Linked DNA regions of Xenopus tropicalis. The protein of the gene in region 1 binds, or shares a complex with, the protein of each later gene. Links are inferred from orthologs where the notes say so. Each region holds a gene or a part of one and is shown in the gene's direction. Other genes may lie near its edges.

Region 1 (3,755 bases):
ATAATATACCCTATAATGCAGAATGATATGCCCTATAATGCAGAATGATATGCCCTATAATACAGTATAATATGCCCTATAATGCAGAATAATATGGCCCATAATGCAGAATAATATGCCCTATAATGCAGAATGATATGCCCTATAATGCAGAATGATATGCCCTATAATGCAGAATGATATGCCCTATAATGCAGTATAATATGCCCTATAATGCAGAATGATATGCCCTATAATGCAGAATGATATGCCCTATAATGCAGAATGATATGCCCTATAATGCAGAATGATATGCCCTATAATGCAGTATAATATGCCCTATAATGCAGTATAATATGCCCTATAATGCAGTATAATATGGCTTATAATATCATATAATATGCTCTATAATGCAATATAATATGGTCTATAATGTAGTTTAGTGATAAGCAAATCTGTCCCATTTCGCAGTATAATCTGTCCTTACTATAGAATAATATGGGCTATAATGCAGTTTAATATTTATTATAATGTAGTTTAGGGATGAGCAAATCTGTCCCATTTCGCTTTGCCAAAAAATTTGCAAAACTGTTGAAAAAAAAGACAAGAAATTTGCAAAAAATTTTTGATGTAACCACAACTTTTTCCTGTTGGCGAATTTTTATGGTAGTTACACAGCAAAAATTGGCCATTGGCAAAATGCAGAATTTCTATCAAATGCATGCCTGCCGAAAAAATTTGCTCATCACTAATGTAGTTTAATATACCCTAATATGACCTATAATGCACTATAATATAGCCCTGCTATAGAATAACATGACTTATAAAGCACTATAATGAGGCCTCAAATGCAGAATAATTAGGCCTTTCTATAGAATAATATGCCATTACTGTAGAACAAAATGACCTATAATGCATGCAGGCTTTGTGTGTAAGGTAATAGGAGCTTGGGTAGGCTGAGGAATGTCTGGCACATAGAAGTGTGATAAGCAAAGTGGCAGTCAGATAGGACAGGCTTTGTTTCTGCCTTCTCCCTGCTCAATACCTTACATGGAATAGTCCGCTCCTCTCCCCTTTATAACATTTCAGCTATTTGCCTTTCTTTTAGTCCCAACGCTCTCTTGAGTCCCTCGCTCATCCCCCATTATCCAGAAAGCAGCTAAAGGTAAGCAGGGATGGCAGGGATCACTGGCATGTATGGGCTGGGGGTAATCTTCCCTTCTCACCAGCACTTCCTGCTCTTGCTGAACTATAACCTATCTTAGCTACTGGGAGCTTCAGCAGCAGCAGCAGGAGGGATTGACTTTCATATTAGGCATACAGTTGTATGCATAACTACTGACTACTGATATGCCATATTCCATTACTTACCTTGTCTGATAGCTAACTGTCTATCTATATTTATCATTAAAAAAAAAGATTTGGCAATTTTAGACCATTTGGGTTGTTGGGACTCCTGGGGTGGCAGTTGGCATTGAATTGCCTTGGTTGGTCAGGAGATTATTATAGAAGGTCATTAATTCACCCAAAAGTACCAGGGAGCAGCCCTCCTCCTTGGCACAACCTTTCAGTTAGAGGCATTAGAAGGGAACGTGCCAGGGTATTTCAGGGGATGGTACTAGGGTATGTAATAGTCAGGTAGCAAGGTTATGTTATATAAAGGTGCCTATCACTGTCTGACTCCTGCTATAACTATAATGATGTATATATGGCATCCTCAAGCAATAGGCTTTATTCTAATTGTATGAGTCGTAACAATTGTAACAGGATACACAATTACATACACAGCCATACCGTCACTCTCGCCTGGAAAGGGGCCAGTCCCAGAGCTTACAATCTAATTTCAGGGAATAAACAATCTGCACGTGGCCACAAGGGGCTGAGACAGGAATCCAGGATCTGGGTTACAGCCTACAGGCCTAGCGAGCATTTAATGCTATATTACTATATATTTATTGTGTTATTATGTTAGAAGGTGGTCACTGCGGATGCTGGGGTTGGTATGGGGATATTCACCAAATTTTGCACAACAGCTCACTGGCTGCATCCATGGTTAGACCTCAGGCCTGCCTGTTGGCATCATTGGATGGGTACTGGGGAGCCTGAGTGACAGCAGGAACAACTAAAATGTTGCTTTGTCAACAATGTGCCCTTAGTATTGGGGTGCCATTTTAATGCCTGTCTATCCGTCTGGGCTCTGGCATCCTGCGCAGACAGAAGGGCTACGAGCCTGTGTATCGGCAGATCCATAGCAGAACACACCGTGCCCACATTGCTCAGTGATATGGTTCGGCTGTTTAATGCTGACTCTGTGCCTTTCCTTATTAATAGGACTTGGGTACCACTCACACTGAGCCACTTCTTAAATAATGGAAATATTCTCAGTGTTTCTCCCCTTATTCCCACCAATCGCTATACAGACAGCTTATCCTTCATCCTCCCACATTGGTTCTACACAGTGGCACCCACCCAGATACACTCAGCTCCCAATGTGTGGAGGCAAATAGTATAGGAACTAGAATAGGGGCCATACAAGAAAGTTGGGGCTCTGTTTCCTTAACCCACTTCCATAAAATGCCACAATGCACTCATGCTTAACCCTTGCCCTCATCTATACACCCATTTTGCCAATTACACCCACTCTAGTGTATGGCACAAGGGATCCCTGTACCTAACATCTGCCCATACCAAGCAGTAGGAACAGGACCCACTTTGCCTGAAGCACAAAGGAGTGGTCCAAGTACTGCTCCTTCCTTAGCTGATGCAAGTTGGTACCATTTGTGCAGAATTTACCAGTGCAAATCTTTGATTCACCAGTGCAAAATGATGTGTCTGGCACCATTACTGTCAAAAATGGGAAGCAGAGTTGCACTGTGGGTAAATAAACTGCTGAATTGCGCAGATTTTTTTACATTTTGCTCTCCTTCATTCAACAGCTCTTAGAACCTTTATTGTTTCATGCAAGGCAGTGTAAATAGGTAAATCTCTGGTACCCGGGTTCCATCTAGTGCCTAAATGGTGAACTGCATGTTTGGAAAGGGAGCCGTCCAGTCATTATACACTGCGGCTGGGCTCACAGACCCCATAATATTGTTCATTCTAGGGGAAAATACTTCATTCATCTTTGTTCATAGAGTATCGGAAAGCTATAGTTTTAGCCAGTGGTTAAACTGAGGAATATTAATGGGGCAAGTGCAACTTCACAGTTTGTACTTTTTTTTTTTTTCAAGCAGTGCACCACAAATAGTTTCCCCCACCATGTTTCCCAGAAGCAGCTCAGTAAACCACTCTGCAGTCTTCGTATCTATAATGTGGTCCTTTAGTTGCTCCCAGTCCTCACAGGCCAAATACACATGGAGCACATGGAGGCGGCTGAAATCTTGCACACTTAACTGCAAAAGTGCCTGTATAAAATACTGGCATAACAAGATGTTACTGGGCTCCACAGCCAATTCATTTAAGGGCAATCCAAAACTTCCTGAAGCTGTATGCCTAAAAATTGCTCATGAATGATGGTCTCATGTGGCTTTCTTGCCTCCTACGTTGCTTTTTCTATAGTTATGCCCATGTGCAAAAATGGCACTTTGCTATGCATTCCATGTTTTGGTGCTCTTTCCTGGGCACCCCCAAGCTTTCACCTACTTGGCAGCATCCATCTCTATAAATGCTGCGGAATGGCCAGAAAAGAGTCCTAGCACTGTCCCTTGGGACACCCCTAGATTCAGAACCCAAAAGTCAGCCAAGTGCTAGGGGACATAAGGCACTGGGGGGAAGGG
Region 2 (3,755 bases), on another chromosome or scaffold:
TGGCTGTGGGATAACAGGTATAGTAGGGAGAGATGGTGCCTATAGTAGCAGTGGGATAATAGCCTCTGGGAAGGGACTGTGGCTGTGGGATAGCAGGTATAGTAGGGAGAGATGGTGCCTATAGTAGCAGTGGGGGATAATAGCCTCTGGGAAGGGACTGTGGCTGTGGGATAGCAGGTATAGTAGGAAGAGATGGTGCCTATAGCAGCAGTGGGGATAATAGCCTCTGGGAAGGGACTGGGGCTGTGGGATAGCAGGTATAGTAGGAAGAGATGGTGCCTATAGCAGCAGTGGGGATAATAGCCTCTGGGAAGGGACTGGGGCTGTGGGATAGCAGGTATAGTAGGGAGAGATGGTGCCTATAGTAGCAGTGGGGATAATAGTCTCTGGGAAGGGACTGGGGCTGTGGGATAGCAGGTATAGTAGGGAGAGGTGGTGCCTATAGTATTATCCTATAGTTTTCACACAATTTAATATATTCATTTTACTTTAGTTTTTGTTTTTCTTCCCTAGAACTTTAAGCCTATAGTATAGGACAGTGTCAGTCACAACACACAAAATCTTGTCACTGCTCCCTTTAGCAAGCTATGGGAAACATGCTGGCGGTGACCAGTAGCCTCGGCTCAGAGACACTTGCTTTAGCACCTGTCAGTAGTAGCAGTGTTTCTGTAGGCGAAAACATATGGCATTCCCTCTAAACTCTGAGAATGAATTCCAGCATTTTGTTTGTTTTGACACATTTAGAACTCTTTAAAGAACTCTTTTCAGTCGTGCAGTGAATTTATCTTTTAGCCAAGACGGGGGGTGAGGATGCAGCACAGACAGCTGGTACCAGGAACAGCATGAAATGTTATATATATGAAATAAAGGAAAAATATCCTATAGAAAAGGGTTTTTGCTCTCTGTTTTGTGAAAAGCAGCAGGGAGGGTGCAGGTCGGACAGCTCCTATGTATCTGACAGTTATTTCAGAATATAGAAATAAATGGACAGCATACAGTACAAAAGAATAAAATGGTTTTGAAGTGATGATATTTCCCTTATTGAATATGTTAGTACCAACCTGTGGCCTCCATCTCTGAAAAAGGAAATCTTTGGCCACACAGCTCCTGCTGGGTATATAAATAAATGCACTTGAAACCATGAGGTGGGCTCTTTTGTCTTCCCAAGGGGATGTCCTGGAAAGTGTCCATTGATAGGGGAAGGCTGACGTGTGGCTCAGGAGGAGCAAACAGTGCCGGGGGGGGGGGGGGGGGGGGGTATATAAACTGAGCCATCAGCTGTCACCAGTGTTGCACAATTGGCTCCTGGGCTCCTGACCAGCATCACTCACAATGGATGATATTTACAAAGCAGCGGTATGTGCTCAACTTTCTGCATTCTCTTTAACCTACTCCTTACAGCTGAAAGCTCGCTCATCAGCCCGTCTCCTGGGGCTCCTTCTGGGTTGGTGCTGATGCAGGGGTTGCAATATAGATCGGCATTTGTATACAACTTGTTCAGTTCCCTTGGTTTTAGGAAGGGTGAGATTCCTGTAAATATTAATATACTAAGTACACTGTGCACTGACCATATTGTTACAGGAATTACCTTTAACAATGAATTATGACTGCTCATATGGTCAAAGCACAATAACTTTAAAGGATTCTATCACCTTGTTATTATACTTTGTAGAGCTCCTTCAGCTGCATTACTGGGGATGTTCATTTACAAATGGGATTCAGATCCCAAATCAGATTCTGCTGCTGTTTGACTGCTGTCTATGGGAAATATTGTCAGTTGCTGCATATATTCATGTAAAATGGAAATGTACAGTATAACTATGAACATTTAAAATGTATTCTCTTAAACAGTGCTTAATGATGATACTTGTGTCACATGACTGGCTGAAACATGTATGTTATAATAATGTCCCCCAGAACTTCATGACCTGTATAATCTGTATGGTCATGGATCTCCTAGGTGTCTTTTAATATCCTGATAGTTTACAATTAGGGGTAAATCATTTTCTGTATAAACTTACACATTATCTGCAGTAACACAGGGAAGACATCTCTGAAATAGAAACTGTAAATGCCTTATTTTAATCAGATGAATAGAGATTTATGACAGGTTTAATTGTGTGCTAGATAATGAATAATATAGCATATGTAACATAGCATCATCTAGGGATTTGTGCAGGTCTGTAGGGCTCAGTAAGGACCTATACAACATCCCGCAGGGTACTGGTACTGGCCTAAACGCACAGGGGGCCAATGAAACTGTAGCAGCATCATTTTCCCATATAGCTGCATTCTGCATATTAATGGTCGGAGGATATTGAAATACCAAATGTCATTAATAGGGATGCACTGAATCTACTATTTTGGGACTTGGCTAAACCCTGAATCCTTCATGAAATTTTCAGCCGAATCCCGAACCAAATCCTAATTTCCATAGTCAAATGAGGCTAGGGATGGGACAAAGAGAACCGTGCTCACAGAGTGTGCCTAAAAACTTCATCTTTATGTGATGAAAAGTCACATGATATTAAGGATTTGAATTTGGCAAATGGATTTGGCCAAATCTGAATTGTGCTGAAAAACTCCAAATTTTGGTGGAATCCCGGACCGAATCCTCGATTCAGTGCATCCCTAGAGCTCATTACCAGGGGCAGGCTCAGACTGGCAATCTGTAGATTCTGGGAAATGCCAGAGGGGCTGCTGTAAGGTGCCATAGACAGTCACTATTTATTGGGCTGGTGGGGGCTGTTTGGGCTTCTGTGTACTTGAAATGCCAGTGCCTATTTTGTATCCCATTCCAGACCTGAACAGGAGTGTGAAAAATCATAGCCAGGCATAGTCTACAATGGGCCAGTATGAAATAATATACAGCATGTTTCATCATGTATAGAACCCTCTTGCAGAGTTGGTACCATGTAATGCCCCTAATGCAATGTTGAGTTTGAAGGGGAGTGTACAGTGTCCTACTATTGGAGATATCAGGAGATTTAGATGGAAGTACAGGTACTTTGCAGTAATTATATTACAGAGAATGAGCCACATTGCACTCACACTCACTGTCCTTCACTTCTCCTTGTCCTGCATATACCAGCTGCATGCACAGCACTCCAACGCCCCCCTGACCCACACATACACACTGACTTTATGGTGGGGCTATACAAACTCTACAGGGATAATGGGCATTTTGCCTGTCTATCTGTATATTCATTTGTTTGTTTAAATACTGCCCCTCCATCTACCAGAGCATCCATATATCTCTGTCTTTCTGTCCGTCTTTTCAAGGGTAAGATTTATTGAAAATATCTATTTGGGCTTAAGCTGACTGTACACTTATTAACGTACTTTCTGGCATGGTCACCAAATGAGCATATCTGTCTGTCTGATTTGGTCACTTACATGCCAGGCCAAATTGGGCTGATCTGATTGGCTGCACCAATGCACTAATTTGCCCTAAATTGCCTTGAATTTTCTAACCTGCCCACTATATATATGATCTTGGGGCTGCTGCCAGCTGAGGCCAATGCCGCCCCTCTCTCTCATTCCATGCTTACAATTCTAGCAGCAGAGTGGGTCTAGTGGGGCTGCATTGGTATGCAGTGCTATTACACTCTCTGCACTGGCAGAGCTGAATTTTCATTTTAAAACATGAAAATTCTGTTTTTAAAGTTACCAGAGGTGGCTTTTTGCCACCACTAGTAACTGGCTGCTTCCTGCCACCTAAGGCAAGGTTCTGACCCAGACCAATGAGCTGGTAT

The links.
Region 2: the proteins of tnni3 (region 1) and tnnc1 are in contact, whole or in part, in a crystal structure (PDB 4Y99), measured with the Homo sapiens proteins. The link is inferred for Xenopus tropicalis from reciprocal best matches to the Homo sapiens genes TNNI3 and TNNC1. Residues at the interface, in NP_000354.4 of Homo sapiens: Glu32, Pro33, His34, Ala35, Lys36, Lys37, Lys38, Ser39, Lys40, Ile41, Ser42, Ala43, Ser44, Arg45, Lys46, Leu47, Gln48, Leu49, Lys50, Thr51, Leu52, Leu53, Leu54, Ile56, Ala57, Lys58, Glu60, Leu61, Glu64, Arg136; in NP_003271.1 of Homo sapiens: Asp3, Ile4, Lys6, Ala7, Glu10, Gln11, Thr13, Glu15, Gln16, Glu19, Phe20, Ala22, Ala23, Ile26, Phe27, Val44, Met45, Leu48, Gln50, Glu59, Met60, Glu63, Glu66, Asp67, Gly68, Asp73, Asp75, Glu76, Phe77, Met81.

The regions. Positions count from the first base shown.
Region 1 is NC_030683.2:104,548,429-104,552,183, forward strand, and holds the start of tnni3 (troponin I, cardiac muscle), read left to right. Parts: upstream 1-1,097; 5' UTR 1,098-1,144; intron 1,145-3,755. UniProt on the Homo sapiens protein: Troponin I is the inhibitory subunit of troponin, the thin filament regulatory complex which confers calcium-sensitivity to striated muscle actomyosin ATPase activity.
Region 2 is NC_030680.2:128,884,904-128,888,658, forward strand, and holds the start of tnnc1 (troponin C, slow skeletal and cardiac muscles), read left to right. Parts: upstream 1-1,311; 5' UTR 1,312-1,332; coding exon 1,333-1,356; intron 1,357-3,755. UniProt on the Homo sapiens protein: Troponin is the central regulatory protein of striated muscle contraction. Tn consists of three components: Tn-I which is the inhibitor of actomyosin ATPase, Tn-T which contains the binding site for tropomyosin and Tn-C.